3 linked regions of the Schizosaccharomyces pombe genome follow. Changing the gene in region 3 together with the main gene of any one other region gives a genetic interaction. Each region holds a gene or a part of one and is shown on either strand. Other genes may lie near its edges. The genes, in order: atg13, atg1 and isp6.

Region 1 (5,932 bases), 2.3 Mb from region 3:
TTCAAAATGCTACTTTAATAAACAGGAAGTCTATAATTGATGATGAGATGTTGGAAATTCCTCTGGGCAAACATAACAATACTAATCTGCCTGCCCTTACAGCGGGCTTCTTAGATCCAGTCGAAAGTGATGATGAATTTGTCGAAAAGGAGTTAGAAGAAGTAGATATCCCGAAGCGTAAAAATCGTCGTGGTCAAAGAGCTAGACAAGCTATTTGGGAAAAAAAGTATGGTAAAGGTGCTAACCATTTGATAAAAAAAGCGACTGAAGAAAGGAGTATTCGTGAAGAAAGACAGAGAAAGTATGAAGAAAGGCAAGCTAAACGTGCTGCTCGTGAAAATGCTTTTACGGAGCACCAAACACCTCAAAAACCAGAGCAACTGCATCCCTCTTGGGAGGCTAAAAGGAAACAAAAAATGCCTTCTAGTGCAGCATTCCAGGGTAAAAAAATAGTTTTTGACTAATCTTAAACATTCCAATTTATAAAATAGTAGTGCTTTTTTTCGATATTCAGGAAGTAAGAAACATCCTCTTTTTTTCAAAACAATGGTAAAACATCATAGCGTTTTACATTGCTCAAATCGCAGCTAGAAGATTGTATTAATATCTTGAAACTGTATACGTTGCTAATATTTTATACACAGAATAAACAGAGCTAACAAATTACTATTATTCATGATGTTTCTGTTGCTAACTAGTAAATTTAAATTTTCAATAACTGTGATTTTTTAAATTATTAGAAACTAAATTACAATTTCAATTAATACCTACACTAGCTAGATAAACAGTATATGTAGATACTAATCATGGTAAATGTGAAAAGTACAGTCAGACATTATGAGTATTTTCAATCGCTGCCCAAAGCTCATGAATTGAGGCGAATATTGCGAAATTCACTTGTATGGAACGAAGCTTAATTGAAGCTATAATGCAGCTGAAAAAAACTATTAAAAAATTAAAAGAAAACAAGAATGGTTGAGTGCATTAAATGGATGCTATATCACTCCAAATTCTAAACATAGGCTTCGCTTAATCATCGGATTTGGGAGAACCAAGCCTAATAGCTGAAACATCATGGGGTTCAAGAGTCATATCAGTCATTGTGAACAATAAATCATCATCATAATTGGGGTTATGCTCATTGTAATATTCGTAAGTAGGTGTTGAAGGAGTAAGACATTGACGTCGTTCTTCAGAAAGATTATCAAAGTGCTTTTTGTACTCTTGTGGGATTCCCGGCTCAAGTACAAAAGAAGGGCTGGGCGTCTTTGTTGCTTGTAGGCTTGCTGGCGTTGATGAATGTTCCAGTGATTTGGATAAGCTGGTGTGATATTCGAAACGCGGAAGTCCAGCAGAAGTAGCCGATCTAGCACAAATTGGTGATTGACTTTTCCGCATATCGTGAAGAGATGCTAGTTGCTTTGAAGTATCGTTTGCTGATGGTACTTCAGTTTGAGTATGAGGAATAACAGTGCTTGGAGACCGGTTATCTCCTTGGAACGTGGAAGCTTGTGAAATGGATGTCAGGGGAGCAGGGAAGGTAGATTTTTCAGAGAAGGAAGGCCGAGATCGCAGCGTACCTAAAGTGTGATGGCGCATGATGCTATGGCTAGAATTTCCAAGATTATGCTTCACAGCCTCAGTAAAACGGGATCCGCTATTATCAATTGAATGATTATAGGTATCGATGTCAAAAATTTCATTGCTACTACCCAAGGAATTATGAGGGTGAGCAACTGGCGAAATTCCAGATGTCAAAGTTTGTACCTTCCCTGGAAATGAACCACTTGATTTGCTACCTTCCGAAGCATTTAAATGATGTGCATGACTATCTAATAGTTGAATAAAACCGCTAAGATCATCCTTTGATGCAAATTCACTATCATAAACAGCATGCTCAGAATGATCTGTTATAGGATTCTCTGAGACGTTATGTTTGAAAATGCTACGAATAGGATGATTGACTAGCGGTAAACGATTACGAGAGCTAAAGCTTTCTTTACGCTCGCGGGGACCGAAACTACTGCTAAATCGTCGAAGATTCGGGGTATTGGAAATGTCAAGTGTGTTAAGCTTAAGACTTCCAGATGTAAGAGGTGGCAATTTTGCTCTTGATTTGCTTGCAGCATCAGAAATCATTGAAAATTTATTTAAAGAGGTGGCTGATGGTCCGCGATGTATATAACGATTGACTGCAACCTTCGGAGAAATTGACATATTGTCAAAATTTGACCCTGGGGAAGCAGATAATGACGGAGATTTGAAAGGATGTATAGTAACAAGAGGAGCTGCTTGAGCTGTTATAGACTCAATGCTAGCTAAATGTTGGATTTCAGATTGTAAAAGAGAATTCGGATCCGACTGCTTAGCTAACCGCGTTGCAAAAGAAGGAGGTGGTTGATCATACTGTTTGCCATCTTCAAAATCTTGAGAATTGTTCGAAGCAGCAAGTTGATGCTTGTCTGCAGATAACAACTGGTTAGAGAGTAACGCATCAGAATCATGAACCTCAAAATGACAATTTTTACGATACTGAACAGATATGCGAAAATCTCCAGCTGGTGTACCAACAGGGCTGAAAGAGAAAGTTGCAATACTGCTTCCGAGCGAGGATGAAATTGGAGCACTTATAGGAAGGAAATCATTCGATAAAACATCATCCGTAGAGAGGGCACAGCCAACTTTTAAAGATGTACCATGAGCTCTTAATTTGTGTATTTTCGACTTCAATTTCCACAGAGGCATAAGATGGGTATAAGTGTAGAGGGAACGAAATAAAACAACTAACTTTTTGTACAAAACAGCCAACTCCAGAGGGGTTGATAAGGCTTCGCCATCTAAATTCACAATCCATCTTTCAAGTACGATTTTCATTGTCGACATATTATTAAAGTTGATTGCGTGAGAATGAGTACCATCGGAAACAGAAAGGGTTTGATTTTTTGATAAATCAGATATATCTAAATATGTGTGCAAAACCATTGGAGGTATTTTTCGTGAAGGAGAAAGTTCAATATTCTTCCAAATTTTGAATTGCTCGGCATAAAGCTCAGTTTCAACAATTTCCAAATTGAACTACATTTTGTTAATTAAGTGCAAATATGAATTTTTTAATTATTTGTAATTCCACATTTATACATCAATAGTACAGTGATCAACTTATTCACCTGTAGCTTAAAAATGAAACTCTATGCAGACGCACGAGATGAACGTAAACTGATAAGTAATTGATAAATAATCTTGAGTTTTTTGAAAACCACTGTATGAATAAAGCGCATAACACCGATACTCGTCATTGTAGAAAAACAAAAATACATACCCATTTGTTATTCTTAGAACTTTCTCGAGGACGAGAGGTCCCAAATACATTTAGTCTGGATTCCAAAATTATTAATCCGGTTTTATAAAAACAATGCTATTTGTAAATGTTAATACTTTTCAAGTAAAGGATGGGTGGACCTCAAGCAAGCTTATGATACACACTTTAACTTACGTGAATGACTTGGCCCAGCTTAGCGCTCCTACCACCCACTGATGATAGATCTTTATTTAACTCAGTTGAAACTGCTTTACTATGCCCAGGGGGAGCAGAATACATTCGAGGAAGCTGCGTATTAAGTCTCGGCATATCAATGTGGTTTCCATTAATTCAATTGCAACTTCAAAGTATAAATTATTAATTTTTTAATGTAACAATTTGATTGTTAGCTCATTCTTTAAATTGATAAAGCAGTTTTTAATTAGTTTTCCTAATTGAATGAATTTGGTTTTGCAGTTCGTATTTGGTAAGGCAGAGTATTGTAGTAAGCGGCAAAAGATACTACAGATGCCATGCTCCAACGAAGCACGGTAAATATTAGCGTTGCGTTAAATACGATTTCTTTCGATCACGTTATAAGACAAATGGTAGCTATATTTAAAGGCTCTTTAAACTGCGGTGAATCTTGTTTTGTGAGCTATTATTTTGGAATATAAAGGGATTATGTGCAACAGTGCTGCAAGTAGTCTTGTTGAAGGGAACAATTTAAATTCACAATAAATGGAGCATAACCTACAACAAGTAATTAAGTAATCTGAGTTTTATTTGATTTATGATTCCCTTAATCCGAAAAAACTTCGGACATAAACATACAATTTTCGAAAATTGTCAATAAATGGATATTAACCGTTTTTTTTTATTGCACAACAAATGATGATACGTAATGTATTGCTAAATGTAGGAAATGTTTGTTGACAGCCGCTAAATATTCGCTATTTTAAAACCCAAATACACAAACATCGCTTATGGAAAACAAACAATAATGTCGATTTATGTTGGCTGAGTGTACGGTAATTATTAACTAATTAAAATCATTTACAAGCACTAGCTTATTGATTTAGGATGCATTCTCTATCACTTTTGTGAAAGTTAAATGTAAAACCCTCAGTATTATCATGTTTGAAGCGATGCAACTGATGTTAAAGGTAATGGTCATGATTTTAACCCGAAGTTAAAAGGATATTACTGACTTCTAAGAGCTCTTAGTTTTAATAAAATGCTCATTTTTTTGGCAGTACTAAGTTTTGCAAGCTTAGGTTTGCTCAGCCCTTTTCGTTTTTAAAAAAAAAAAGGAATTAAATTATGTGGTAGTACTAAAATACCTTGAATTTCGTACTCTGGTTTACCAACGATATAAGGAGTCATAAAGAAACGAGACTTTAATTAATTTTTGTTTTTGCTATTAAATTGCAGATGCCATAAGTCATGATGCTGCGATGTTTTCATCATCAATTGTCAAAATGTTATATATTCTTTACATTCCAAATCACCAAGATTAAAATACTACTTTTTGAAGTTTCAAATTTGTTGGTTACAAGGTGTTTCTATTTTTTTTAGAAATCCAATATAATCGCTTGGCTTTAATTGTACTGCTGCTATTTGTTTTTATTTAGAAGTCTTCATTTTTCGGTTCCCCAATTATAAATTATCTGACTGTTGAAAACAGATTTACTGCTTCAATATTAACAATAATTAATAAGATAGAGATAAGTTGAAGAAATGGGAGAAATGCTTAACGAGAATACATCATCAACATCATTGTCGTCTTTTTACGTTTTGGAAAATGAAACCATTTTCAACGTGCAAGAAGAAATGGAGGAAGATGGTTCAGAATCTGGAAATATTCAGAAGACCTTACTAGAGGATCCGTGTCCGGAAAATGTCAATGACGAAAATGAAGATGAACAGAATAGATCTTCTAGATCGTCAAGTCCACTTGTGAAGCATGAACAGAGACATAGAATGTATAACTTGAAGGAAGTAATCAAATCATTCATTCTTACAAAGTCAAAAGAAAAACCATGCGACCTGGAGATGGGAATTGATTCAATTGAAATGGGAAGAATGCAAAGCTTTGAAAGTGATCAACAGGAATCTCACACTGGTCAAGCGAACTTTCCAACTGACCAGGAGGATCCTCGAAATCCTCAATTAGACTCTCAATATGAAGCTTTCATTACTCAAGGGGAATCACAAACGGACAAAAAGAAAACTTCGACAGTTCAAGAGGAGGAGCTTCAGAATGCTGGGAAAAAATTGGAGACTGTTCAAGAAAACCCTCAAGCTTATTCAAAGGTCACCCAACAGGAGCCACAGGCTGGTCAAAAAGCTGTACCCCAGGAACCACAAGCTAATCAACAGGAGACTTCGAGCAATCAAGAGGAATCATCATTTGATCGACAGGAAACTCAAGATGACAAGCAAAAACCGAAGACTACTCAACAGGAACATTATAATCTTCGAAATAGAAATCAGGCGACAATCACAAACAGCAACTCAAAACCTCAGACACGCCGTTCAAAAATATTTGTCATTTCCTTACTTGGATACGGAGTCTACTTGCTAGCCTTTCTTGATTTAATTGAATATGTTTCAAAGGAATACGGGTTTGAA
Region 2 (5,603 bases), on a different chromosome or scaffold from region 3:
TGGCGACAAGTAGACTGTCATATTAATAACCTTTACAATACTACCTTCTGGATGTTAATACTCAAAGGAGGTTTCACAAACACTCAAGCCGAGGAGTACCTAAAGGTAAGTAGCTCATTTTTTTTTATGTAAACCCTAGCGATTTATCTTCCTTTCAATAAAAACTAACCACTTTCACCTTTTGGGTGAATTACTTTACAGGGTACCGTCAGCGCAGAAAAACATGAAATTTTGTTCTCAAAATTCGGCATCAACTATAATTTTGAACCAGAGATATACAAAAAGGGCTCGATTTGGATTCGTGAGGTATGCTCGACAAACTTTGTTTAAATTAATTTTTGCTTACTTATTTAATTTAGCCTATTGATCAAGAATGGCATCAACAAGACAAAAAGTTCTCCGTAAAACAAAAGAAGAAAATGGTTTTATCTATCCTTCACGTAAGTCTGATAGACGATGACTTTTGGACTTCAAGGCCATTTCTTGAGGTATTGTTACAATAATTTCCTTTCACACATTTGTAAATTATGGGTCGTTTGAACAAAAACATTATCACTCGTTTAATTGTTTCTCTCATGCAGTCATCAGCTCTAGGCCGTATAAAACAAATCTTTGTTTTGGAAATCAAAAAAGTACTAGATTCTTGCCTTGATACGTTAAATAGCTGTTTTACTTGTTTGAAAAATTTAAGAGAAAAAAAATAATATGCACGAAATTTGAATAGAGATAAACCTCAATAAATAAGAGTTAAATATACGGGACTATCAACCCTATGTATAAAAAAAGCAAAATTAAAAACGTCTATATTAAAAAGTTATATAAATAATATGGTCATAACAACGAATTCATAACAAAATTTAGACTCAGAGCTCAGCTCATACAATATGCGAATTTGTTCAATAAAAGGGCGAAATCGTCGGTGTTCAAGCAAGATTGGGGGCAAGTGTTATTTTCGCAACACTTTCTGTTACTTTGTTGGCTACATTAGCCTGGATTTGTTTCGATTGTAAAAGTTCTTGCCTTTTCGTTATCAAAGCAATCAAATTTCTTATGGTTACTGAATTATTGGAATCGTTAGCACCGTCTGGAGTCGAAAAATTACTCTCAAGAAGTGACTCCAACAAATGTGCTGCAAGCCGGTAATTTTGTAAACAAGCCTGTGCATCATTTCCTGACAGTTCACTAGTGGCTGCATTTCTGGATAGGTCCAATGCTCTATGATAAATTAATTGAGAAGCTGACACAGGTTTGGTAGTTGGCAAAGAATGTGCGGCACTTTGAGAAATAATAATTTCACGTAAAAATTGGGATTTCTCAAGACTTTCTGAATACCTTTGACGAAACCATTCAATGGCTTGTTGGCAATCAGGAGATGCACGTTCTTCAGAGTTGGCCCAAAAAGCAGCAACACCGTCAAACGCCACTTGTAACAGCTCAATGTCTCTCTCATAAAGTACATACGATTCCTTGGCTAACATAACCAATGAAAAAGGAGTCAAAGGTCTATCCAAGAGTGTATCTCCAGGCTTCATTTCATCAGACAAAGAAGGAATAATTTGAGCAAGCTTCACTTCAGCCAGATGGTAGACAGAGTTTGATTTCATCGCTATACTTTCTAAAACATCAAGCAATCTTTTACCGGTGTCAGGTAAGGAAGGTTGGATAATGTTGACATTGTTATCCAAATTGCTTTCTTTTGTAGGAAGGGATGTGTTTCCATTATCTGTCATACCATCCACTACAACTTCATTAAGCCTAGCGTTTGCAACATTTAGTGCTCGTTCTAGAGCGCTTTTATTTCGCGCACCACCTCCAGATTGAGGTACATGTGCTGTAGCTTGCTCAAACGCACGACGTAGTTGAGTGACTGGGGTTGAAGCAATGTAGGTAGGATTAGAAGGGAAAGCATTGGGTTTCATGTAAGGGATTTGCATCCGGCTAGTATGGGGAAACGCATGATTATTTACAGGAGCGCTTTCAGGAGAGAAACTACCTTGAAAAACACCTTCGTTTGGTGAAGGCGAGTTACCATTGATTGATTGCTCGTGGGTTAGGCTTTCATTGGAAAGTTGGGTAGAAGAGATTATGGGATGATGGTCCACTACGACATAGGCGCTACTTTTGTTCGAAGTATCACTTGTCAACTTAGCAGGAGATGCCATGGGTATAGGTTGCTTAGAGGTTAATCGAGGAGGGAAAATGCTAGCAGCAGGAGCACTTTCAGGAGGAAACACGGGGGTGTATGGTAAAGTGTTTCCATCTTGTGCATAGCGATGAGGCACCCTTCGACCGGTAATTTCAGAGGGCTGAATACTAGACCCCTGAGCTTGGAAAGCTTGACGCAACAAACCGCCTGGAGGAGCAGGAGCGCCAGGATTACTTTTTGGGAAAAAATCGGTTATGTAGGCAGGACTAGAAGATGGAATGTTTATTTCCTTAACCGCATCTTGAATATCGCTACCGGTCAAAGTAGATGCGTCATCTAATGGAGTAGTGACAACAATACTGGAAAAGAAACCGTCGTAGTCGATACGATCAGCCGGATTTTGCTTCAGCAAAGCACAGATAAGGGTTTTAATGTCCGGGTGAATGAAAGCTTCTTCAGGAAACTTGATGACATCTTTAGCTTTTTGAATCCTCCTAAGAAGTTCGACATGATTTGGGGCCTTGAAGGGAGGCTTTCCAACAGCCATTTCGTATAACACAGCACCTACTGACCACAAATCGGCTTTAGCATCATATTTCTCGTAACGAAGTATTTCGGGCGCCATATACAACGGAGAGCCACATAGAGTTTCCGCCATACTAGACGTTTGAAGGTAACGTGCAAAACCAAAGTCTGCTAATTTAAGCATTGGTAGCTTGGGACTTCCCACAAACTGGGGATGCTCTTCCAGATAGGCAGCGGTGGGTGGTGGTTGTAAAAGAAGATTTTGGGGTTTGACATCTCGATGAATTAAAGAACGCGATCGTAAAAATTGGAGTGCAGAAGCAAGTTGTTGGGTAAAATGCCGAACCAACGTCTCATTCAATCCAGCCTTGTAAACTGGCGGATGATCGATGTTGATCCAGGCTAAGGAGGGAATACTGTTAAACTTTTCTCGCTTTCGAATAAAATAACTCAAATCTCCTAGGGAGCAATACTCCATGACCAGGTGAATGAACCGCCCAGCCTTAATACAGTCTATCAGTTCCACAACATGCACATGACGGATCTCTTTAAGGATTGAAATTTCACTTTCTAAATTCTCCAAAAGTTTCTTAGTAAGCTTCTTTGTCAATACGCTTTTAATAGAGATCACTCGATTCGTTTCCTGCAACACGATTAGCCACCAAATTCCATTGAAACAGACAAGCAGTTGCTTCTTTTACTTACCGTGTGCTTTCCTTTATACACAATTGCGAAAGATCCACGTCCAATTTCCGATCGAATGACATAGGGACCAATTGTTTGATTTGTACTCGTCTGTAAGTTCATACAGCTTCTGGTTCACGATAAGACAGGTGTAAGGGTTTTAGCTGCCTTTATACTCACTTTGATAGCATGGGAGTTGGCAAGGATAGCGGGTCGCCATTGATAATATAGCTGCGTAAAAGGCACTTTCCGCACTGGGCTTTAATACCTTAAAATAAATTGCGATCGTGGTGCGGCTGTAAAAGGTAACAGGAGATATGGTTTCGGGATAACAAGTTTTATGGGAGTAAGCACTATGAATAGAATGCGAGTTTATAGAGGAAATTGTATTAACTCAATGAATTATAATATTTTACACACATATACCTGCTGGTAGTGTCTAAATTCTTTGAAATTGTTCCCTTTTTGTGCAGCTGAAAAATGCCGAAAGTGGGTTAAGACGAAATAAATGTGTTAATTTTTGCCATGTCAGTTACCGATTTGAGTACGGAAAGCAAGTGTGTGTGGAATTAGAGGATAAGAACGGAAGTAGATAATACTCCAGACGAAGCGTAGATACCCGCGAAAAGGCAAATTAGTTGGAAAAGGCGATTGTCATGGATAGAGTGATCGAGGCAGATGAAAATGCAAGTGTAAATAGAGGGTAAATTTGGATAAAAAACCGGCGGCAGATGTACAACTTGTACCACTGTACCAGTTTCATGCCATATAGAAATAATATAAAAAAAAAAAGTAAACTGGATTTAAAAGACAAAAAAAAAAGAAAAGAAGGAGCCTACAGCACCCCGGATTCCCATGTTGTCTCCAACCATAGTACTAACGAGGCCCTCAGACGCTTAACTGCAGTGATCGGACGGGAACTGGTGTTTTCGCCTAGGTATGGCCGTAGACATTTGTTGTGTTAAATAATAATATTTATGGTTGAAGAAAAGAATATCATTTTTTTTATGCAGTGTGAGTTTTGGCTCAAACGCATGTATATAATACTACAAAACAGGGAATTGGGCAATGACTAGTATTCAAACATGCCCTGAGGACTTGAAGACCATAATGGAAGGTAAGAACTCTCTTGCAGAAAATTAAAAGAAAATTTCCAATCATAATATGTTGCTTTTCTCTTTATTGATATATACGAGATTGGTTGTGGAATCCAAATTTCTAAAACAGACTTTAAAGTCAACATTAGCGAAAACGCTACTGAAAACAAGCAACGTTATAAAAAATTCACCTTCTCACCATGAATAGTTTAATTTTGTATTTGCGTGATAATAAAATAAATAAATTAATTCGAGAATATAAAATAAAAAAAGTTTTGAAACTGAATATAAGTGCTTGTTGCCAATAATACTGCAATGAAGTTTGAAACAAAAAATAAAAAAAAATAAAGTAAAAATAATAAGTTAATCAAAATTTTGATTTTGTAGCAATAAATAAATTAATGAATTTTTTTTTAATCTATTATTTTCTAGGAAATTTGGAAAATTAATAAATGGAATTAAAATGCTTATGCTCCGAGTCGTACACTGTTTAATTAATTTTAAGCAAGCAAAAATAATATACTGTTCGTTTCGAAGCAACCTATTCTACTTAAAATTGTGCCACGATATCCGCTCAGATACTCGTTGTTATACATTTCTCAATAAATGAATATTTTGATCTTCCTAAATATGCGAACTGTAATAGTCAATTACCTTTAAATATATGACTGATTGAATAGCAAAACTATATATACATATATTTTGTAATATCATTTTTACCGAAATTTATAGTCCGTTTTAGTTTTATTCGTTTCATAGTCACATCTGCCATCTTTTTTTTGCTCACGTTGGTTTTTTGTAAACAGTATTCTCAGTGGATGCTGTTGTTAAGGTGATTATGATTTAATGATAGGCCTGGCAATACGTAAAATTTTTCTTTTTATTTTATTAAAGGAAATCTATTTACGTCGAATTAGTAACAAAGAGAATATGCAAAGAATTACATCTTTGGTTTATTTTTTCATATATAAGCACATATATGTATTTTTCTTTTGTTTGTCATTTGCAAAGCATCAGAGTTATGAGATATTTTACTTTGATGTTGCAAAATATTTTATGGAATTAAACATTCTTAATCCAAGGCTTGATACAATACCCACATGTACATTGGAAGTATGAGATTGTCATTCTCCGTTGAGACACCTTCCAAA
Region 3 (5,071 bases):
TATCAACATCAAAGGACGTCCGAATGCTACAAAAGCAAATATCAGATTTGGAAGCATCGTTTGCTGCTTCCGACATCGAACGAATTAAAGGAATTGATGAATGTCGCAATCGCGATAGGACTATCCGTCAACTGGAAGCTCAAATATCAAAATTTGATGATGATAAAAAGAGAATACAGAGCTCAGTTTCTCGTTTGGAGGAAAGAAATGCGCAACTGAGAAATCAATTAGAAGATGTGCAAGCTTCAGAAACACAATGGAAATTTGCACTACGTCGGACGGAACATGCTCTTCAAGAAGAGCGTGAACGCGTCAAAAGTTTGGAAACCGATTTTGATAAATATAGATCTTTGCTGGAGGGTCAAAGAGTAAAGAGAAGTGAAAGTAGATTATCCATGAGGTCCAATCGTTCGCCTAGCGTTCTAAGGTAGCCAAGCTTCCCAAAGACTCGACATGTATTTTTTAAGATGATGTAAATTATTAGTTCATGAATTTAAAATTATTTTATTATTACTATTATTATGCTCTGCGTCAACGTAACAAGTAACCACAAGGATACTTTAGTTCAAAAAAAAAAGTAAGTCGGTCAAGTAAAAGGCATTTTAGTTCGGTTTACTTTTTATTTTACCCCTATTATTTGTACAATGGTTATATGCAGCAATCACATTGTAAAAGAAAACTATGAAGAGATAGGCGGCGATATTAAATGTAGAAGAGCTCTTGCATAACAGCGGCACAAATATAAATACAAATACAAATAAAAGAAGAGGACATTTACAATTACACTTTAACATTGTAAGTTGGAAGAACATCACAAAAAAATTTCATTCAAGTATAAAAATTCTAAACGTGATTCAGTGGCTTGCATTATAAAATATTTATTGTCATAACAATCATTATAAACTGTTTGTAAAGAACAATCATAAAAGGAGCAAACGTTTTCAAAAAAATAAAACAATTACTCGATGTATTGAAAATCAAACACCGACTTATTGAAAACATCGAATGCATCCAACATGAAGTAAAATCTATTCTTGAGCACCATTGAAAGCGAGAAGGTTAATAGTGCTGCTACCAACAGGAATAGACAAGAGTACATCGTGAATACCCATCTTAATGATAGCATCTTTAACTTCGCTAGCGCTGGCAGCAGGGTGTAGGCCAAGGTAGTAAGCGGACAAACCTGCAACATGAGGGGTTGCCATAGAAGTACCAGAGATGGTGTTAGTACTAGTATTTGAACCGATCCATGTAGACAAAATGTTAAGTCCAGGAGCGAAGATGTCAACACAGCTACCATAGTTAGAGAAGTAGGCCATTTGGTCGTTTATAGTGGAAGCGCCAACGGTGATGGCTTTCTTAGAAGCAGCAGGAGATGAATAGCAAGCGTCATCATACTCATTTCCAGCAGCAACGGCATAAATAACACCGTTGGTAACGGCAGAATCAACAGCCATATCCAAAACAAAGCTGTTGCCGCCACCAAGAGACATGTTGCCAACAGAGGTTTTCTTGCCGGACGATTTGTGATGACGAACAGTCCACTCAACACCGGCAATCACATCAGCCATGGTACCAGATCCACTGGAACGGAGAACCTTGACAGCAACGATTTCAGCCTTCTTTGCAACACCATAAGCACGGCTAGCAATGGTACCAGCAACATGCGTACCATGACCATTGTTATCCTCATCAACATCACCAGAGGGAATGGTTGCACCCCAAGAAGCGCGACCTTCGAACTCAACATGATGAATGCTTACACCGGTATCTACAACATAAGCGGTGATGTTGTCACCAGCGCTGGAATCGTAAACATATTTGCCAATATCATCGTATTTGACGGATTTGTGAGAGATGCGAGCAAGTCCCCAAGGAGCGCCACTTTGAGTTTCAAGTTTCTTAATGCTGACAACTTGATCACGCTCGACGGCGATGACATGAGGATGCAAGCGAATTTGCTCAACAATGTTAGAGCTGAATTGACCAGAATAACCTTTGAAAGAGTCCTCGCCAAAGTCATAAACATGCTTCAAGCCAAACATGTAATTACTATCACTAGTATCGTAGTACTCATCTTCTTGAGAAGCAATGTCCATTTGGTGCATCTCCGAGACCCAATTAGTATGGGCTTGGAATTCTTGTTCGCTCAAATCAGGCTGCAAAACAATGATATAGTGAGAGTCCAGTCCAGTGGTATCGGCGTTGGAAGCAGACAAGAGAGGAGCGGCATTAGGACCAGCATGAGGTTTGTGCTTAGGGGTAGCGGCTTCGCCGTGGGAGTCGTAGAAAGCGTTATCGAGCTCAGGACGGATACCAGCATGGGCAATGTCCGAATCAGTCGCTGGCATCACTGGTGCAGCACAGGCAGTAGAAGCGAAGAGGGCCAAACCTGCGGCGGCAGAAAAAAGATTTGAATAAGGAATTCTCATGTTGATGCTGAGAAGACGAGGCTGTTGGAGGGGGAAGTGATTGTGATTGTGGTTGGGGTAGTGATTGAAGGCGGTTAAATTGCTGAGATTGCTGAACAGTAGGCAAGTATCGTTGTTCCGTGTTTACTTATGAAAGAAAGACAAGGAAAACAGATGACAAAGACTATTGAAAAACTAACTATCTATCCCAAGTTCAGATAGGAAGAAATCGAGAGAGATGAATAAAAGAAAAAAAAAAAGAATTGTGGGCTATATACAAACTATAGTAAGTAGTATATGGGCGAACAATGGGATTAAGAGTTATTATAAAGAAAGGGAGAAAGAAACTATAATAATTCTCTAACAATTACTTTAATAAAATAAAAAATTGCAAGCAAATGAAAAACACAAAGCGAAAAAAAACGACTGTGAATGAAACAAAATCAAAACTAGTGGCACTGGTAAATTCAATTCCAATGCAACTTGTTCTAAGACGTTTGACTTTGTAACGAGGAGCGTACTGATACACGACTCAATGGGGGCTACCTCTTTCGTTTATATAGTCTATCCACCACCCGTACCCTAACCCTCGAACATCAACAAAGGGAGTTTGGACAGATAGAAGCAGAGATTCCGTAAAAAAGCAGGCAAAACTCAATTCCAAATCCATTCAATTCAATTGTAATATAATTTTTTTTAAAAAAATTCTGTTCATTTACTTCTCTGCTTTCTCCCTTGATTATTCGTCAAATGCCACTGTTCTGCATGCATCGCTGTATTAGCACTTTCTCAAGCGCGCCCTCCCTTTCGCAATTCGTTACTTGGCTGACTTAACGAGTCACGATATGTTCACTTGACGTCACCCCTCTAATCTAGCGATACGAGGTGGTTAGTGGAGGAACGGTGATCCATTGCCTGTGATTGGTCGATAAGCTCAAACAAGTGGTTCTTAGATAAACTTTGAAAGGCCGGATTGGTAAGGGCCACTCAACTGCCACTCTGTTCGGTACATTGAATGATAACGCTTCATGCGCATTGCGCTGCTTAGGGCAGAAAAAAGAGCAATTCAAAGATATGGAGGAACGGAAGCCGATTCACTGATAACTTGGTAATCCACGGATACACACATTGATCGGGACATACATAAAAAAAGAGGTTTGCAAAATTTCCAAATGTATGGAAGCAACAGCATATCCATATTCAACAATATGCACTCAATGTCATTTCATTTTCAGAAAGGTTTATTCTTTCCTTTCATGACTAGTATTCATTCTACACAAACAGTAAACTGAAACGAAAACAAATAAATTATAAAACACTAGCACAATTGAATGAACATGACTCTCGGTGTTCAGCTAACGCCCACTCATGTAAACAAGTGCTTGATGAAAAACATCCATCCATCCATCCATCCCCTGATAAGTGTTTGCTACATTACAACAGCCATTCTATCTTTATCAACAAATTGGTTGGAGACATTTATTTTAGAGGAGAGAAGATTGAGAGATTGTGTGTGCGTAAACAGTTAATTACCGATGCATCGTATTTCGGTTATTGTATATAAGAAAGAGTTGCTAGATGAAGCAATGAGGGACTTTAAAATTCCCCATTTTCACTATAAAATCCATTTCTTCTTTTCTATGAAACTTTACTTATTTGTATATTCTTATATAAATTGTTAAAGAAACAGCCTGTGGAGTGAGATCGAGCGAGTATTCGTAGCAATCGCTGGCTCTTTCCTATGTAACTTTTCTTCTATGCAGCCATGAAATTTAATGCAGTACAAGGGATTTAATCAAAGAGTTTTAATGATGAACAGAATGCGTGGATGGCATTTGCATTTCTTTGTATACGAACAAACAACATGTGACAACATTGACAATGTTTGAGATTCCCACAGTAAGAGAGATTGGGCGCTGTGTTGAAGCTCTTTCATCAATGCGCTCTCATTCCAGGTGTCGTTTGGACTAGACCATCACTAATAGTTCAACAAGTTGAAACAATTAGCAAACAATACAGAGAACAATGGCGTTATATTGGAACAAATGAATGACGGTTCTGTATTTTGGTGGCGCCGTACACCCAGCAATTTTGAATTTGGGAGCTTTTGTATATATTTCGTTATAAGTACTTGGTACTTTGGAAACGAAACAATCTCTAATCGCTAAATATCTTGCCATCATCGGAGCTGTTGCACTTATCACTTTATTCAAGCAGCGCTTATTAGGAATAAACTAAAGAGTAACATAGTCAGATTTCTCTGATGGTTGGATTGAATTGAATTGAATTGTCGTCGATAAGCTATATACTCCATCTGTTTTGCTCTAACAAAGCAATATAATCTAGAGTGCTAATGTGCTATAGTGAAAAAATAAGATAGAAAAGTAAAAAACATATTTGGATAGGAAAAATGAAAGTGGTTGGTAGAATCCACCCCCTCAAACCAACCAAAAAAAATTGAAATATTAACGAAAATGAAATAAAGACATGCTCATCAAACGAACTATCCCTACAATGCTCACAGCCTTCCTTTCATTACATATCTTCCTTAACTTCTTTTATCGTGCTTTAACGCATTTGTTTGCATAGTATTACAGGGTTCGTTTTAACACACTATATGCTTTACACCGCTTGTATAGAATCGTGTAAGACTTTCTCCT

Evidence for each region.
Region 1: of isp6 (region 3) and atg13, changing one suppresses a phenotype caused by changing the other (phenotypic suppression), as found in Schizosaccharomyces pombe (one study listed by BioGRID).
Region 2: of isp6 (region 3) and atg1, changing one suppresses a phenotype caused by changing the other (phenotypic suppression), as found in Schizosaccharomyces pombe (one study listed by BioGRID).

Annotation. Positions count from the first base shown.
Region 1 is NC_003424.3:4,839,817-4,845,748, forward strand, and holds atg13 (autophagy-associated protein kinase regulatory subunit Atg13), read right to left. Parts: upstream 3,788-5,932; 5' UTR 3,629-3,787; coding exon 3,494-3,628; intron 3,416-3,493; coding exon 3,320-3,415; intron 3,076-3,319; coding exon 1,030-3,075; 3' UTR 669-1,029; downstream 1-668. Other genes in the region: BUD22 family ribosome small subunit biogenesis protein, read left to right, coding at 1-464; protein mug126, read left to right, coding at 5,039-5,932. UniProt on the Schizosaccharomyces pombe protein: Component of the atg1 kinase complex that activates the atg1 kinase in a nutritional condition dependent manner through the TOR pathway, leading to autophagy.
Region 2 is NC_003421.2:849,127-854,729, forward strand, and holds atg1 (autophagy serine/threonine protein kinase Atg1), read right to left. Parts: upstream 3,557-5,603; 5' UTR 3,479-3,556; coding exon 3,377-3,478; intron 3,315-3,376; coding exon 924-3,314; 3' UTR 707-923; downstream 1-706. Other genes in the region: thg1 (tRNA guanylyltransferase), read left to right, coding at 1-105, 202-306, 360-503; dolichol kinase Sec59, read right to left, coding at 5,525-5,603. UniProt on the Schizosaccharomyces pombe protein: Serine/threonine protein kinase involved in the cytoplasm to vacuole transport (Cvt) and found to be essential in autophagy, where it is required for the formation of autophagosomes.
Region 3 is NC_003424.3:2,542,711-2,547,781, reverse strand, and holds isp6 (vacuolar serine protease Isp6), read right to left. Parts: upstream 2,941-5,071; 5' UTR 2,433-2,940; coding exon 1,029-2,432; 3' UTR 801-1,028; downstream 1-800. Other genes in the region: Myo3-like myosin II heavy chain myp2, read left to right, coding at 1-431.